Linked DNA regions of Arabidopsis thaliana. The protein of the gene in region 3 interacts with the protein of the main gene of each other region in a pairwise test. Each region holds a gene or a part of one and is shown on either strand. Other genes may lie near its edges. The genes, in order: AT5G49210, AT2G42750, DRNL and AT2G38300.

Region 1 (4,435 bases), on a different chromosome or scaffold from region 3:
GAACATCTGATCTTCGCATTTGTACATATCTTCCTCGATATCGGTTAGATTTTTATGTCCCTAGATATCATAACTCTACACAACACAAGTGTTGTTTAGTACTTTTGATGAGACCGGCCTTTGTTTTTTCTTATGGATTAGCTTATAGCAAATTTTCTCCTTTTCTTGAGAGGTCTCTCAGGTTGGTCCAGCAACATTCCTCTCTTCCTTTTTCCCTCCAAATTGATCTTATCCGACTCTGTTTTTTGCGGGCTATCATCTACTTTAACCCTAGTTACAGCCTCATCTTTTCTATCACCGTAGACAATTTTTACGAACCGTTGATAAAGATTCTTGTACTTGTCGATCAAACATTGAAGAGACTTACTAAGCCCATTACTCGAATTAACTATTGGGCCTCTAGAAATTTACAAATTCGGTTCCTATAGAAAACTACAATATTGTCCCTCATGGCATTGTATAAATTTACAAAACATGTCACGCTGATAGGCCTACTAAGCCCATTACTCGATTAACTATTGGGCCTAGGTTCATTATATTCGAAACCAATGAGGAAGATGATTTACCAAAAAACAATCTTCTACTGATAACAATCAACAAGAGAAAACTTCTTATTAATGATGATATTACGACACCAGAACCACAACAAACAAGAGATTGGTCACAAGACCACAATTCTCATTATGTGCTTGATGCAAAAAGGCTAAAACAGCCTTCGCTTTCTTCTCTAAGAAAAAAAAAAGACTTGTCTTCAACAAAAGGACTAAAGTGATTGTTTCTTAAACAAAGATTCAGAGGAGAAGCTTTGGTTTAGAGAACAACGTTGTCAACCAAGGCTTCTGTAATCTTCCTCTCCAGTTCTTTTTGCTCGATCCATAGTGAACTCTGTTCACGCAGTAGCTTCTCTCTCTCTTTGATCTTCTCTTCCCTCTTTTGGCCCATCATCTTCCACATCTCTAGCTTTTCTGCTCTTTCTTTTATCTACAGTTTATTAAACACATAAACCAGTCAGTGAATCAAGCTTGAATCAGTTTTACAACTTTAAGAAGAAAAGCACTATGACCATTACTGCTCTGAGGCTGTGACCAAGAAACATGAGGAACTCAAACTAGAAATAGAAACCTAGGAGTGGTACTACTCTTCTGAATTAATTTGCAGACATAAGTACGTGAAATCAATTAATGAATCAGTGAATACTGCTTTGGTCAGTGTGTGTGTGTGCGATGTCTCATCTACCTACAGCCCGAACAAAGGAAGCTTCTAACTAACAAGTTTCACTGCCCTCAAAAGAATTCCCATTAAAAGCATCAAGATCCAGCATCAAAATCCATCTTATTTTTGATTGTTAGGTACGATGCTAAAGCTGTAACCAGAACAACAACAGCTAATGTAAGGAGACAATGATAACTACAGGATTCATCAAAACCTCCACTTGATGCTAAGCAACGTTTATCAAAGCTCTTAGTCATACATCTCCATCAGCTCTAATCTAAAGTTCTCTTCCAATCACAAACATAATACTATACCTTGAAGTTCTCTTCTATATAATACTACTACACCCTGATGCATAACTAGGAAAAGGTTCCAAATTTTCAAGAGGAAAACAACAATTTGATTCTCCACATGCTAGATGAACCTTATCCAGACAAACCCATTCTCCTATTTACTCAAGAATCATCTCACACTAATCCAACTACTTGATCAAACATCCACCATGGTTTCTATACAATAAACAAAGAACGGAGAAGAGAGAAAGTGAACTCACCAGAGTTTGCCTGAACTCTTCGTCAGCAATCTTACGTTCCTCAGCTCTAACCTTAGCAGCCTCAGCCTTCAAGAGTCGCCTCTCTTCATTAGCAGCTCGTTCAGCCAACAATCTAGCCTCATCCTTACGCTGTTTCTCAACACGAAGCATCTCAATCTCATGAATGTACTCTTTACGATACACTCGAACTTTCTTAGCATAATCTCTCCTAAGCTGAGCAAGCTTTCTCTCTGCATCTTTCGGATCACTCGGAGCTTCCCAGCTACCAATATAGTATTCTGGCTCAAGAAAATTGTGAGTCTCCTGGTGGAATCTATGGTGAGTGGCATCAGCAGAGAAAGACCTGAGAGAGCCAATCATGGAAGCATTCTCACTCTGCCTCCTCACGAAACGGCTTAGCTTATTGCAAAAAGCCATTTCACTAAATCTTCTGATTCTACACAAGGAGACAAAACGTTAAACTCAAATACAGATTCAGATTCAAAAACAATTAGATCCCTAGAAGTTTCTGGCTAAATCCTGATTAATGGGAACAGCTAGGGTCTGTGAATCGGAGAAAAATGCGAAAGTAAAATTGGTCGAAGAAGCTTACCTGGGAGGAACGAATGAGTCGTCGGAGATTTGTTTGTTTGAGAGAGAACCCAGGTAGAAGAAGAAGAAGAAGCACAACGGCGGTGAAACAAACCGGCGTGAAGCTTTTTTAGGGCTGAGAGAGAAATGAAGGAATTTTTTTTGTTGTTGTTCGAACAGTGAATATTTTATTCTACTCGAACCAAACCAATAAAACTAAACATTCTAAATCAAATATGTAAACCGAATATAACCGAATAAATTGGCTTTAATCAGAATCATAAAATTGTTAGTTATTCAGTCGATTAATTACTACATTGGCTTTAATCAGAATATTTCCTTGTTCTTGATCCATTTTTGTTGAATGAGTTAGTATTTCACTGTCTCAAGGTTTAAAAGAAGTTAGTCAATGGATTAATTACTACTTTGGCCTTCAATACTAAAAGGTTTACATCATTGTTAACATATGATATTGACTCTAGGGTGGTCTTGGCTAACAGTAATTAGACAAGTTGCGATGGACTCATCCTGATTTAGCTCTAATTAGTAATTAGTATACAGAATAAAGACCTCTTTTTTTCTACTAGTACAGAGATTTTAGGGTATAATTAATGACCTAACCTAATGATAGAATTGAACATTAATTGGACCCACGAATGATGGGCCTAAAGTTAAGCCCAATAGAAATTATTATAGCGTAACCGCCACGCTCATCTATATATACACCATTCCTCTGCAGCCCCAGATCATTCTACTCTTTACATGTTCTTTACTCCGTCTCAAAATTTCCTTTTTTTGTTGGCTCTCTCCGAACGAGTTGGAGAAATCGTTAACCCTAATCGAAGATCTAGATTCCTCTACATACGTTTGATCTCTCTCTCAGTATGGATTACAAAGCGCCAAGGAGATACTACTCACACGGAGTTGTTGCGAGACAGCAAGATTTCGCAACAGATATAGTTACGAGAAGAAGACCTTATGTCCCTTACGACCGTCCAAATAAGTTTTCAAGGAGTCTGGTTTGGACGTCAAAAGAGTACAAATCACCCGAGGGCAATAATATGCCAAGGACCAATGATGTGTCACCGAAACCACCAGTTTTAGGTTTGGCGAGGAAGAATGCTGCTTGTGGGCCAATGAGATCTTCTAGTCTCAGAAAATGGGTATGTAAGTATTGGAAAGATGGAAAGTGCAAGAGGGGTGAGCAGTGCCAGTTCTTACACTCTTGGTCTTGTTTCCCTGGATTGGCCATGGTAGCTTCTCTTGAAGGGCACAATAAGGAACTAAAGGGGATCGCTCTCCCTGAGGGTTCAGATAAACTCTTTTCAGTCAGTATTGATGGTACATTGCGAGTTTGGGACTGCAATTCTGGTCAGTGTGTACATTCCATCAACCTTGACGCAGAAGCAGGGTCTCTAATCAGTGAAGGCCCTTGGGTTTTCCTTGGCTTGCCAAACGCTATAAAGGCTTTTAACGTTCAAACCAGTCAAGATTTGCATCTTCAAGCAGCAGGGGTGGTTGGTCAGGTGAATGCAATGACTATTGCAAACGGAATGCTTTTTGCTGGAACAAGTTCTGGTAGTATCTTAGTCTGGAAAGCTACTACAGACTCTGAGTCTGATCCATTCAAATACTTGACATCTCTTGAGGGACATAGTGGTGAAGTCACTTGTTTTGCTGTTGGAGGTCAAATGCTATACTCTGGTTCTGTCGATAAAACAATCAAGATGTGGGATCTCAACACCCTGCAATGTATAATGACCCTGAAGCAACATACCGGCACTGTCACTTCACTCTTATGTTGGGATAAATGTTTGATATCGTCTTCCTTGGATGGGACCATAAAAGTTTGGGCTTATTCTGAAAACGGAATCTTGAAAGTTGTTCAAACTCGCAGACAAGAACAGAGTAGTGTTCATGCTCTTTCTGGTATGCATGATGCAGAAGCCAAACCGATAATATTCTGCTCTTACCAAAACGGAACCGTTGGCATTTTCGACCTACCATCTTTTCAAGAAAGAGGAAGGATGTTCTCTACGCACACGATCGCCACACTCACAATTGGTCCTCAAGGATTGTTATTCAGTGGAGACGAGAGTG
Region 2 (4,961 bases), on a different chromosome or scaffold from region 3:
AAGGTCTGTTCTTTTTCATACAATGCAAAGTCTAATACAAAAGTTATCATGTATCTCTTCAATCACATTGATTACCATAGAAATGAAAAAGACGAAACAGAGCAGACAACATACCTTGCTAAAGTGCTACTTGCTACAGAGTCGTGAAAGCTCTCCACTTTCAATACCAATTTAATCGTGAGATCAAAAGTGAAAACATCGAATACTAGGGTTTTGGAAAGTTTAAGAGAAGAGACGAAGAAACTGAAACAACTTATTATAAGCAATTTCCTCCATTTCCACATGAGGAAAGAGTAAAGCAGAAAGACTGATGAAGAAAAGGTAAGTAGTCTGTTTGGGAAAGAAAGTCACGTGAGAGAAGCGTGGGCCTTTAAGGGTAAAACTGTCATTTAAATAGTCGCCGTTCTTTACACTTAGGATTAGGGCTTCTAACATTTAAATAGTCGTTTCGTTCTCCGTCTCTCCTTTCCCGTCGGCCGGTGATAATTTCGCAACCCAAATTCCAAATGGTAAGTTTCAGTTCTTGGATTTGTATGATTTTGTAATGTGAATAGGGATTTGAAGATTTACTTACTTTTGAAATTCAGGCGTCGGAGAAGAAGCTATCGAACCCAATGAGGGACATTAAAGTGCAGAAGCTGGTTCTCAACATCTCCGTTGGTGAGAGTGGAGATCGTCTCACCAGAGCCTCCAAGGTTCCTCCTGTTTTTTACCCATTCTCTGTGGTTTTCACTCTTGTTGTCACTTGGTTATAATCGATTGATTCGTGGTTACTTGGTAGGTTTTGGAACAATTGAGTGGTCAGACTCCTGTTTTCTCCAAAGGTTAGATTTTTTCTCATATTTGAAAGCTTACAAATAGTCTGGTTGATAGATTTAGTAATCTAGAAGAATTTGGGAAACATAGTTTAGTTAAGTCTATGAATGGGTGCATGGTTTGATGATGAATTTGAGATTTTGGAATCCAGTAAGTCCCTTATCTGGTGGTTTGTGATAACTTGATAAGCCTACCAGTCCAAATTAGGAGCTGTTCGTTTCCCCGCTTCTGATATAGTTGCGTTGTGCACTCTGTTTTATATGCATCGCTTTTGGTTTGCTCTGAGAGACATGATTTGGTTTAGCTTCTTCCATTGCAATTTTCAAGAACCCTTGTTATGTGTGGCTTTTGCAGCTAGATACACTGTTCGTTCTTTTGGTATCAGACGTAACGAGAAGATCGCATGCTATGTAACCGTCAGAGGTGAGAAGGCAATGCAACTACTTGAAAGTGGATTGAAAGTCAAGGAATACGAACTTCTCAGAAGAAACTTCAGTGACACTGGTTGCTTCGGTTTTGGTATTCAAGAACACATTGATTTGGGTATCAAGTAAGTCAATCCCCTTAAATCATCCTGTCATAACACTTGGGGTTCACCACATTCTTGGTGATACTCATTGATCTTTGTTTCACTTCTTATAAAGGTACGATCCATCAACTGGAATCTATGGTATGGACTTCTATGTGGTCCTAGAACGTCCTGGCTACCGTGTAGCACGTCGCAGAAGGTGCAAGGCTCGTGTTGGTATCCAACACAGAGTAACTAAAGACGATGCAATGAAATGGTTCCAGGTGAAATACGAAGGAGTCATTCTCAACAAGTCCCAGAACATCACTGGCTAAAACAATTCCTCCTAACTCTTTCTTCTGTTTTAGAAAACCCTGTCTCAGTTTTGTTTACTTGTCTGAATCTTAATCTTTGTACTTTATATGCATTATTGGCTTTAGTTTCAGTTATTTAAGTATCTAATTTCGTGTGAGGATAAGCAAGATAAGAAAATTTTGGCGGGTAGTTGAAGCGTGTGGAGACATATAAATCCACTAGCTGACACGTGCCACGGACGGCTAAGCACGCTTTCGCCGATCGCCGATCGCCGCTAGATTCATCTCGGATTCCTCCAAATAAGCTTCCCTGGTTCTTATCTTGCCACGTCAGCATTTCTCCCTCGTACGCCTTAAATTCTTCACAAAAATAATAAAAATATTAATTCAAATAAATGTTCATCTTCTCCTACGAATGAAATTGAAATTAATTTGAGCGATCGGAACAGGATCGGGTCGGATCTTTTGAAGTTCTTCAATGGCGCAGATACTTTCCCCTGTTTGTACGGATCTTTTGAAGTTCCAGAACTCAGCTCTTAGCTCCAGATCAGGTGCGTCGCCGCGGTTCTCGGCGAAGACCACCGGTGCTTCTTCATCTTGGTACTTACCTCGGTACGCAGGAAAGAGGCGAACCGATTCAATCGGAAGATTGAGAGTTGCAACTGAGGATGCTTCTTCTCTTTCCACCGGTGATGTCGCCGATGATTACTATGCCGTTCTCGGACTCGTAAGAACCAAGGCTATTTCAATCCGATTTGATATATGCATATAGGGATTTTGAAGTGATGATTTTTTTTTTTGGTTTAAGTTGTTTGCTTATGATTGAAACTTCTTGTGTATCATGGAAAAATACTCTGCATTTCATATGGTTGTAGCTAGATTCATCTTTGTCGAAATTGTGAAGCCTTTGACAGGTTACAATCATTAAGATCAAAGATTGTGACTTTAATAACTCTCCTTTGCTATGTCAATAGCTTCCAGATGCTACGCAGGAGGAGATTAAGAAAGCTTACTATAACTGTATGAAATCGTGCCATCCAGACTTGAGTGGCAATGACCCCGAAACCACAAATTTCTGCATGTTCATTAACGATATCTATGAGGTGAGTTTTTTACTTGACTTCCTTATAGATTTTTGTAAGCGTTTAGTAAGGTCCATATGCTTTTTCGTTTAATGATTTACCGTTGCATTGCAGATTCTCAGTGACCCTGTACAGCGTATGGTTTACGATGAAATTCATGGGTATACAGTGACTGCCATCAATCCTTTTCTTGATGACTCCACCCCAAGGGATCATGTTTTTGTTGATGAGTTTGCTTGTATAGGTATTCTTTCTTCAATTTAGAGGCTGCGTGCTTTGATGATCTGGAAAGTGACTACATTTGCGTTTGGTGTTTAACAGGCTGCAAAAATTGTGCCAATGTGGCTCCAGATATATTTCAAATTGAGGAAGACTTTGGTAGAGCAAGGGCTTGTAATCAGCGTGGCAACCCAGATTTGGTTCAGCAAGCAGTTGAAACATGGTAGGTTTATATTCTGTAGATGCAACTGATTGTTATAGTTACTTCTGGTGGGCAATTTCAGAGAACTGATTAGGAGATGCTTTTGGTTTTGTTTTCAGCCCGGTTGATTGTATCCATCAGACTTCTGCTGCACAGTTGTCATTGCTTGAAGATGAAATGCGAAGGGTTGAAAGAGTGAATGTAAGACGAGCATTTCCCTTGTAGCTATCTTGTTGTTCATTGATTAGAAACAGAAGACATTGCTGAGGTTTCTTGATTGTATATTTGTTGCTGAACTGCTGCATTTAAGCTCTTGGAATTGTCATTGATTGATCAGGTTGCTCTGATGCTTTCTGGAATGGGGTCAGGAGCAGTTGATGTTTTCAGAATGGTAAGAAGGAAATAAAACCCGCTCGGTTCGGTAGCTGATCAAAGCTGAAATGTTCTTAGTCATTTTTTATTCCCACATACAAATTGGCAACAATGTAGCCTATTGTTCTTTAATTTTCATCTAACTGATAAGTCTTTGAATCCTGTTTCAGGCGAGATCTCGATGGGAAAAGAGGCAAGCAAAAGTTTTGGTATGAACTTTCATCACCTTTGAAATCCTTGGAAAACTATTTGCAACATAATATCTAAACATCACCTCGTGCTTACCTATGTTTCAGAATCAAGCTAGAAGTAGAATGATGAAGAGGAAAAACACAGATGAAACACCTTCCTATTGGGATAACCTCTGGGGCAAACAGAATGAATACCAGAAAAGCGGTAAAATTGATGATAGTAAACTCTCCTTCCTCTTTGGCTAATGATCATACAACATTACATATTTACTCATTTCGGTGTATGTCATGTGACAGAGGAAGAAGTACAAGAACGAGCACAGCGAGCCGCCGCAGCAGCCAGGAGATGGAGGGAATACTCACGAAGAGGCGTGGATAAGCGCCCCACCTTCAAACTCCCAGACTCCGCCTCCAGAGGAGACAACTGAAACCATAGACAGAAATCACTTATAGTTTATATAGGTAAGCAGGTTTCTTACTAGATTATATATCTATATATGTAAATGTCATGTCGCGTTCTAGACCTGTATAGCTTTGTTCTCACATCGATTAAGGAAGAAAAAAACAAGTGTATTTAACGTTTTCGATTTCTGTATTATACTATTTAAAAAAAAAGTTTGCAACGCCTAGATAAAATTAAAATACATTAGTTATGTAATATGCTCGTGATCATTGAGATTGTTCGTGTCAATTATTTCCTTACAAACGATTTCAAGAGCGTATGAATGTGAACATACATACTTATGGTTTACCCCTTAAAGTATTAATTCTCGATATATATAGGAATCCTGAACAATTATTCACGCAAGTTATAAATCATCCACGATTAATAAGGTTTTTAAATATTATTCTACATTAATTAAGTGAATATTGGTCTGTGAAAAGTATAGAACGCAACGATGAAATTACAAAGAGAGAGAGAGAGAGGGTGGATCTTATATAACATTTGCAAAACAGTTAATTTATGTTCAAAAAAATTAGTTCATTATTACGTAATTTCATCAATTATTATGCCTAGACAAAATAAATAGTAAAACACTAGTTTCTTGATAGATAATACACTAATAAGTCGTTATCAACGTGATTATGCACAACAATTGTGTGAGAATTATGTGATAGTGACGTGGCAATAAACCATATGACAAGTGTTGAGCATTATTGGATATGATTGGCCCACCACTCAAAAACCTCATTATAGATTCTCTTCTCCGACAAGGACACTTTTGTTCTGGGTCAATGGTCGTATCAGAGATCTCT
Region 3 (3,533 bases):
TTGGGATATGGTTTTTTTGAATAAGGGTTATAAACATTGATGCAAATTCGAGTCCTTAAGTATATGTTTACTGAGTTTTGATGGTGCAAATACTTTAATGGACAAAGGATTTTGTGAACCTAAATATAATTATGCCCTTACGGTGATCTGAGAGGGAAAAGGGAAAGAAGAAAAAGCAAGAGGACAAAGGCTGTCTTTATGATTCTGAAGTCAACTTATAGAAAAGAAAAAAAAATCTTAATTTGTTCAAGATATATATTTTTGTCCTTTAGGTATTGTCTTCATCCAGCACCTCGAGTATTTTTACTTTATTTTTGTTATTACCTTTGCTCATAACCGACATATGTCATACACAATTAATTAACTTCGCTCATACTCAGATAAAAATTGTTCTTTGCTAAAACATAGAGATAAATTGATCATAGCACTAGACGAAAAATTAAAAGACAAAAGATTTGAGTTAGTTACCCTTAACCTCATTTCTTACAACCCTAAAGAAACTGTGAAGTGATAAGCACGTAAAAAGTAGAACAACAACAATATTCTAATAATCATCATGAAAGCAATACTGATAAAACATTCCACCATTTCCGTTCTGCTGCATCTTAGCTGAATCAAACCCATTCTCATGATCAGCCCAACCTAACTCTCCATGATATTTAACCTGACCGAATCCGTTTCCTTCGACATGGAAGTCAGCTAAACGAACATCTGTCTGAAAACCGCTCTCTGGCATCGTCGGGAAAACACCAACCGACTGTTGGTTGCTCTTTGGAGGTATAGAAGCATGTTGAGAGATAGGTTTTGGTAAGAAGCCTTGAACAATTTCTTGAAGAAGACCAGAACTAGCTGGTTCTGGTTCAAAGATATTTGATATCAGGCTCTCGTTCTCAATGGTACTTGACCTCTTAGCTTTAGGCGAGAGATCTTCACAGACATCGTTGACGTTAGTGAAGGACTCGTGAACAACGTCGTTTACGTTAGAAAGATTACAAGGCGGGTAAGCGAAAGTGGTTAACGGAGAAAGAGACTGAGAGTTTAACACGTCTCGTAGAAGGAACATATTCATTGGAGGAGACGAGAAAATACGGTGGTGATAAGAGTCGAGAGAAGGCATTGGGTAGACGAAGTTGGTTCGAGCTTTAAGACCACGCATGGCTCGAGCGGCGCAGTCATATGCGCAAGCTGCTTCCTCGGCCGTGTCAAATGTTCCGAGCCATCGTCTCTCCTTGGACAATGGGTCCCGTATTTCAGCTGCGTAACGACCCCATGGCCTACGCCTCACGCCTCGGTACCTTATCGTAGAGACACCGGAAGCGCCGGCGCCGGAGGCAGCTTTTGCGGTAGTTACTCCTCCGGGAGAGCCAGGAGCTGTCGAGGAAGTTCTTGATGGCTTTCTTTTCAAAGAATGGATGTTGGTTTCTCTGTGCTCGGCACCTTCGAGTCTCATGATTGCTTCTTCCATGGTTGACCTAAGGGAAATTTTTAAAGCTAAGAATTTTTCTTTTTGTTCTGTGATTGTCTTAGGGTTGTGAGGCACCTGAATGTGATGATAGCTGATTACGTATTTATAGAAAATAAAATATACATTTTTATTGTTTTTAATTTAAGATGGACCTGACCCAATATATAATTTAAAAAAATGGACTTGCATTGCATCTTTTATTGACTTGTGAGTTGTGAATCTATGAGAGATGCAGAAAGCAAAAGTACGTTTAACGAAGTTCTTGTTCCACGTTCGAACTTACATGTCTTTTCTTTTTCCTTTTCTACGGACTTGCATAAAAGCAGTTATAAGTTACATATTTCATGTCTTTTTGACAAGTAACAAATTCATAATTATGATGTACTATTTTTATCTTAACCCTTGCACCATTCTTTCTTATTGTCAGAGTATAAAGGTCCTTTGATACTGTTGATTAAAGGTCGATTTATTCTTTTGTTTTAAGTGAAAGACATGAATATATTTCAGAAAACTTTCTTGAACAATTTACAAATTAAAATTATAAAATCATTGATTTCATTTATTTTTGAACAAATTCAAAGGTCATCGTTTTCAGCTATTTCCGTTGGTCATATTATTCTTTAATCTTTACGCACTTTTCTTTAATTGTGTTTTGGGAAATAATCAATGGTCATTAATTTATAATAATAATGAATTACAGTAATAATAATAAGCAATAGAGTTAAAAGTGATTTATACAGTAGTTTGTGGAAGGGAAAATTATGATGTTGGAGTTGAAGCTTAAAAGGAGAGGGTTGAAAATCGTGAAATTATGATTCTGAATTAATAACACTGGCGGCGCGCAGAAATTGTTCCTTCTACATGAGGTTGTGTTTTGTCTGTTCTTTTTACGAGATTATGGTCGATTTGCTTATTTAGGGTTTTGCTTTTTAATCTGTAAACCAAAGTCACGTGGATTTGTCTCAACTAGGGCTCTTTCTTCATGGTGTAGCCTCTTTAGGGCTTTCCTACTGTAGCTCGATTGTGACTAATGACCCTTTGCGTTTACGGAAATCAATCTCCACCACTAATTTCGTATATATATGTTTGATAATTAATGTAATTTCGCATTTACATAAAAAATAATCTAAATCTCTCTCACATTCTTGATCAATTAATGTCTGTAAAGCTCCATTCATATTCGAGCCCTAAATATAAGGGTTGAATGCAAAAAAAAAAAATCCGTCAAAAAAAGTTTTATCACGCCTAGGAGAAAAAATTATCAATCGTCTAAATATAAGGGTTGCATGCAATTATCACGTATGTTATTATGTTTATCACGTAATTATTGACATATATCGCGTAGGAGAAAAAAAATATATCAACGCAGAAGTCTTTTAGGAGTGTCTAAATATTTTGCCGTTGTTATATATATAACGATTTACAATCATATCTAATTGCATGTAATTTTTTTTTCATTTAGGTTGTGCCGCGAAAAAATATGCAGATTGAAAAGAAAAAAATAACAAACAAAAAAATGGAATAAATATGTGAGGCAAACAAAAACAAAACTATGTTTCCTCAACAAAACGTTGGCAAATCATGTCTACAAACAGTAGATGTTGAAGGAAGAGAAGTCGTGAGCTCCTTGTGGAATTAGTGGATTATGAAGCTGAACACCACAGAGCTCAGTTTGTAAGGAATCGAAATCACTTTTAAAAAATGTGGAAATTTGTGGAAAACTTGAACCTATATAACGGTGGTATCAACTTGTACGTACACGGTACAACATATCAACAGAAGATTAATTCATGAAGTAGTTTGAATAATCGGCTCTAGCTAGATCTTTAATTCATAGAAATCAGACTAATATTCTAAACCTAAACGATATGGACGTCAATTTGTCAGATGGAGAAAACGGGAAAACTGTTAAGAAAAGAAAATCCTATATTTCTATTTTGATGCATGCTTCCGTCTTTCGAAACTACAAAGAATTAATTTGTAACTTTATGAGTTATGACAACAAAAAAAAGAAGTATTATCATAGCTTTGAAATATATAGGGTGGAGTAGTGAAAAAAAAAATATAG
Region 4 (4,627 bases), on a different chromosome or scaffold from region 3:
GCAACTAATCACATCCTTATACAATAAACATTTCACGAGATAAAATTTTATATAGAATAATGAACTCAAAAGATTTGATGATTTGTGAACTTTTTCTATGTTTTTTTTTGTATTATGATCTTTAACCTCTTTAATATTTACAAAGAACGAGGTGTGTCTTGTTGTTTAAGTATTAATCTTGTTCACATATAGTAAAAACCTCAAAAATAATTGGCTTCGGATTTGCATAGTGTAAAATTGTTTCACTATGTCTCTGAAAAGGGAAAAATGAGTGAAGATGGATTTTGGAAATTATTGAAAACACTACTATTAACTATAACATGTTTTGGAACTACAAAATTGTCCATGTACTGTTCGGATAAATACGAAACCAAAATTTTTGTACTATTTACGTAAAAGTCTCATCTACAAATGAATGAAGCTCACCAGCAGAGATACTCTAATCGATGTAAATTTGTTGTTATATGTATATGTAATTTTCATATAGTATATTGCTATGAGAAGACAAAAGATCGAATCATTATGATGTGGCTAGTAATATTTGTTTATATATGTGATGATACAAATTGGCGGTATCAAACAAACTCAAGACCGTTAATATAATCAAACATTTTTGTTTCCTTTCTAATAATAAAGAAAATACATGATTAATGATAAACAACAACGACACTGAATATTAAGATATCGGTAAGTACCTCAAGATCTCACTTAGAATTTGTCTCATTCTTAAATATAATTCATAGAGTCAGATCCAGAGTACTCTCCTGACCAATCTTAACCGTCCGATCCTCTTCATCTTTCATCAGTCGGCTCTTTTTCCACGAAGACGACCCTGGACATAGCGACAAGGACAACGTTTGATCCGTTGTTGTTGCTGCTGTTTCTGTCTCTTCCAAAATTGTCTTCTCCGGTTGTCTTAGCTTAAGAGATAGATCAAGATCAATGCTCCTACTTGCGTCTCTTTTGCCATTTGTCTTGCTACAATAAGAATGATTAGTGTTCTCCTCAACACCGTTATGGAACTTTTGAAAAGTTCTTGAGTGTCCTTGAATGCTGTTGAATGTGACTGAATTGGTCCGTTCGTGATGATCGTGTCGTAGTTTCGGAAAGTGATTAGAAATTGAAGAAGAGTAGATGTTTTGGAAAGACTTGTTGTTAGTCCAATAATCACTACCACGGATGTTATTGCTAACCGACGCGTTGCGGATTAAACCGGGCCTAATTTGGTCTATCAAACTCCTTTCTGTTCCTTGAGAGCTAGAGTTCCACAAAGAAGCATTTGAAATTTTACTTCCATATCTACCAAAAACAAAAGAAGACAATTAATTTAGTTTCCGAATAAATATAATTAAAACGGAATATCATTCAAATTAAGGAACACATAAAATCTAAAATTTTCAAAAAAAAAAGTTATATCAACCTGAATGGAGAATCATGGTTATGATTATAGCCTCGGAACATCGGTAGCTGACTTAGTTTATAAATATTTCGATCTGTGGAAGTCTCGAAGAGATGTTTGTGACCAGCTATAGCTGCCAACAATTCAAACCCCACTTTATTGGCCTATACATGTATAACTTGATAACTAACTAATGAACACAAATAGAAAGAATCAATACCTTGACCTTGATCATCTATCTTCTTGCTTCTGTACATCTAAAATTTTCCAATACACAATTTAGTGATTTCTTTTTTTTTCTAATTTCAGAGATTATTTGAAACGAAATCGAAAATACAACACATATATAGGTACGTTTTAGATGTATGTAGATCAAATACCTGTAGATGGCTCTTGACATGAGCAATACTAAGCCCTTTGATGTTCATCATCTGACGAACCAACTTTGGAGTTGCTCCTATACATAACCAAACATACACATTAAAAAAAAGAAAATCACATGAGGTTTTGACCAAATAGTTAACCTAAGAATAACTAAGAAATTGCTTATGCTTTTATATATATGTGGAGGAGGTGATGAAAGATGAAGTTAGTAGCTATGGACGTACTTTCTTGACCTCCAAGCCTCTCAACGGCGCGGACAAAGCGAAGATGAAGATCAGGAGTCCACCGGAGTCGAGGGACTTTAGATCTCACATAAGGCCTAACCTTAGTCTTCTTGTCGCTCTCTTCCACTGTACTATTGCTTGAAACCTTACTCTCTTCACCTTCTTCTTCTTCTTCCTCTTCCTCCTCCTCTTCTTCTCTGTTAGTCTTCCCGCCTCCCTCCATACTTGGAATCATTATTACTTCTGATGTTACAAATTCAGAAGAAATATAGAAAGAAAGTGGTAAACGATAGAGAAGTTCTAGGCTTAGCTAGATATAGGTTTTGGACGATATGGATAGATCAATCCTTTGGTTTGATATGAAAGAGATAAAAGACCAGATGAATTCTGCTTAGTTCAAAGCATGGAGATTTTGTCTGTGAACCCTAGATCAAGATACACTTCTGATTCTCTCTCTCTCTCTTCCCGGAACATGTAGACAAACCCTCACCTAAATCTTGTTGCATATGTTAAAAAGTTTTCTTTTCTGTTCACAGCTAATTGATTTCGGCCCTTTTCTACTATAGACAGCTCTATATATAAATAGTTGTATATTTTAATATGTGGATGCATATTAATATCAACCATGGAGGGAGAAAACTATTACTCCTATAAATGAGATAAATTGTTGTTTATACCCTTAACATGCCAACAAATTACAAGTAACACTTATTCTATATTATTGTTCACCAAAGGCTAAGATGAGTGTGATAGAAATTAGGCTCTATATATAGCATATTCTTAGTAGTCTTAGATTGCCTTAGTTCGTCAAACAAACATTTCGATTACAAAGATCGATATAGATAAAATTCATGTATCGGGACTAACAGTCTATGAATGAATTAGTTAGTATAAGTAAGACTATTTACAACAACAACAAAAAAAAAAAAAAAAAAAAAATTAATAATTATAAGAAAATAAGAAAGATATTAGTATAGTTGAGACGTTATTTGAGTTTAGAAGAAAACAAAAAAATGAAGAATTTTAAATTTTTTGATACCGTGATGCAGTTTCCAGGAAAAATAATTAAATACAAAATCGAATTCACAAAATTATAATATACCTCAGAGTAGTTTTGTCGGAATTAGGATCATTGATGATCGAGATCATTGTCTTTTTCTTAAGACATTTGGTTTAAAATTAATGTTAACTAAACTTTCTTTTCCTTCTGTTTTTCTTTTTGTTGCAAAATAATTTTTGATCCTCAACGATTTAAAAGATCCAGTACGTGACATGAATCAATTTATACAAAATATTAATTTATCGAAGTGAACTATACTTGATGGATTTTAAATCCTCTCATTTCTATTGATATAGCGATCAAATTAGTTAGAAAATTTATTTTTAAAATCAACCTTCTAATCTTCTGAGTACTTTTTAGTATTTAGAAAGTGATAAATCACAATACTAACTAATATATTGATTAATGGGTAGATTCATATATATTTATCTTTAAAACTTTTTGATGAGATTATGAGGTTTAGGGTTTTGCGTGGAATTGAATGCTAAAGGCAAAAAATGGAAGAGCGAGAGTGGTAGATAGACGAATAAATTACGATTACAAGGCGTGTGACTGCTCAGCTGTCTTTGATGTAGACCACATCATCACACATACCTCTTTCTTTCTTTCTTTTTCTGTTTTTTGTTCGACGAGAATCACGGGACAATGCTCCTCTCTTACCCCAAAATTATATATTATCTTTATATGTATTTTTGTAGATTCGTATGAGAGAATTAGTTTATGTGTAAAGTGGTCCTTGCTTGGTTTACGTTACACATCCGACCCCGTGAAGCGATGAATAGCGTTGTTAGTTGAGCCGTTTTTTTACATCGTTCGTTCCAAAAATATGTAATATTAACATACATAGTTATAAAATTTGACACCGTATAAATCGAAGTCCTATATGGTTTAATTTTAATTGCAAAGAAAGTCTTTTTAGACGAGTTTATGGTGATTTTTGTAATTACGATTTTAGTCATCGTAAGCCATTGAATACTACCTCTTCCGCATATTTCGACAATTAGTTTGAATATTTACCTTTACCACTTCTATTATGAAAACAATAAGATAAATACATTCTCACGTATATATGCTTATGATATAATATATTTTAGATCCAATTATGCTTTCGAAGTCCTCTTGGAATTCCAAGAAATATGAGCACTCACAAGATCAGTTCTATTAACATGTCTAACAAATTGTACTGTTTTATTTCTACGTAAATTTCAATCATAAGTTTTTGGTGCATCACGAAAACAATATACAATACTGTTTTCCAGTTGTATATATCTACTATAGATTCGGGTACATGCCATCCAATAAAACTTCGTTGCAGAATTAAATGGAGATTATGAGTTCATGAGATTAAACTATAGGCTTAAGTTCATATTTTCCAGTTAGTAAATAAAATTCTGCTAGCCAAACAAAAAAAGTTGTTCCCTACCAAAAAAAACAAAAAAAGTTGTTGAGGAGAGGAAATTGTAAGCTTTGATGAAGTAGAAAAAAGAAGAACTTTGTCATTCCCCCCACGTGTAAAGAGACTTGCCATCGATCCTTCACAAGCTTCTCGTCACCACTCCT

Evidence for each region.
Region 1: the proteins of DRNL (region 3) and AT5G49210 interact in a two-hybrid assay, tested with the Arabidopsis thaliana proteins (one large-scale study listed by BioGRID).
Region 2: the proteins of DRNL (region 3) and AT2G42750 interact in a two-hybrid assay, tested with the Arabidopsis thaliana proteins (one large-scale study listed by BioGRID).
Region 4: the proteins of DRNL (region 3) and AT2G38300 interact in a two-hybrid assay, tested with the Arabidopsis thaliana proteins (one large-scale study listed by BioGRID).

The regions. Positions count from the first base shown.
Region 1 is NC_003076.8:19,947,840-19,952,274, reverse strand, and holds AT5G49210 (stress response NST1-like protein), read right to left. Parts: upstream 2,585-4,435; 5' UTR 2,358-2,584; intron 2,202-2,357; 5' UTR 2,183-2,201; coding exon 1,766-2,182; intron 1,364-1,765; coding exon of another isoform or gene 1,358-1,363; exon of another isoform or gene 982-1,357; coding exon 811-981; 3' UTR 562-810; downstream 1-561. Other genes in the region: AT5G49200 (WD-40 repeat family protein / zfwd4 protein (ZFWD4)), read left to right, coding at 3,220-4,435.
Region 2 is NC_003071.7:17,791,288-17,796,248, forward strand, and holds AT2G42750 (DNAJ heat shock N-terminal domain-containing protein), read left to right. Parts: upstream 1-1,977; 5' UTR 1,978-2,116; coding exon 2,117-2,365; intron 2,366-2,612; coding exon 2,613-2,741; intron 2,742-2,834; coding exon 2,835-2,964; intron 2,965-3,041; coding exon 3,042-3,162; intron 3,163-3,260; coding exon 3,261-3,342; intron 3,343-3,478; coding exon 3,479-3,532; intron 3,533-3,683; coding exon 3,684-3,722; intron 3,723-3,809; coding exon 3,810-3,909; intron 3,910-4,001; coding exon 4,002-4,132; 3' UTR 4,133-4,441; downstream 4,442-4,961. Other genes in the region: RPL16A (ribosomal protein large subunit 16A), read left to right, coding at 507-509, 588-695, 782-824, 1,171-1,366, 1,461-1,659.
Region 3 is NC_003070.9:8,713,845-8,717,377, forward strand, and holds DRNL (DORNROSCHEN-like protein), read right to left. Parts: upstream 1,535-3,533; 5' UTR 1,466-1,534; coding exon 545-1,465; 3' UTR 521-544; downstream 1-520. UniProt on the Arabidopsis thaliana protein: Required for correct embryo patterning and cotyledon organogenesis. May positively regulate the gibberellin signaling pathway leading to germination, hypocotyl elongation, and leaf expansion.
Region 4 is NC_003071.7:16,043,438-16,048,064, forward strand, and holds AT2G38300 (myb-like HTH transcriptional regulator family protein), read right to left. Parts: upstream 2,579-4,627; 5' UTR 2,243-2,578; coding exon 2,008-2,242; intron 1,857-2,007; coding exon 1,780-1,856; intron 1,657-1,779; coding exon 1,620-1,656; intron 1,533-1,619; coding exon 1,421-1,532; intron 1,300-1,420; coding exon 738-1,299; 3' UTR 511-737; downstream 1-510.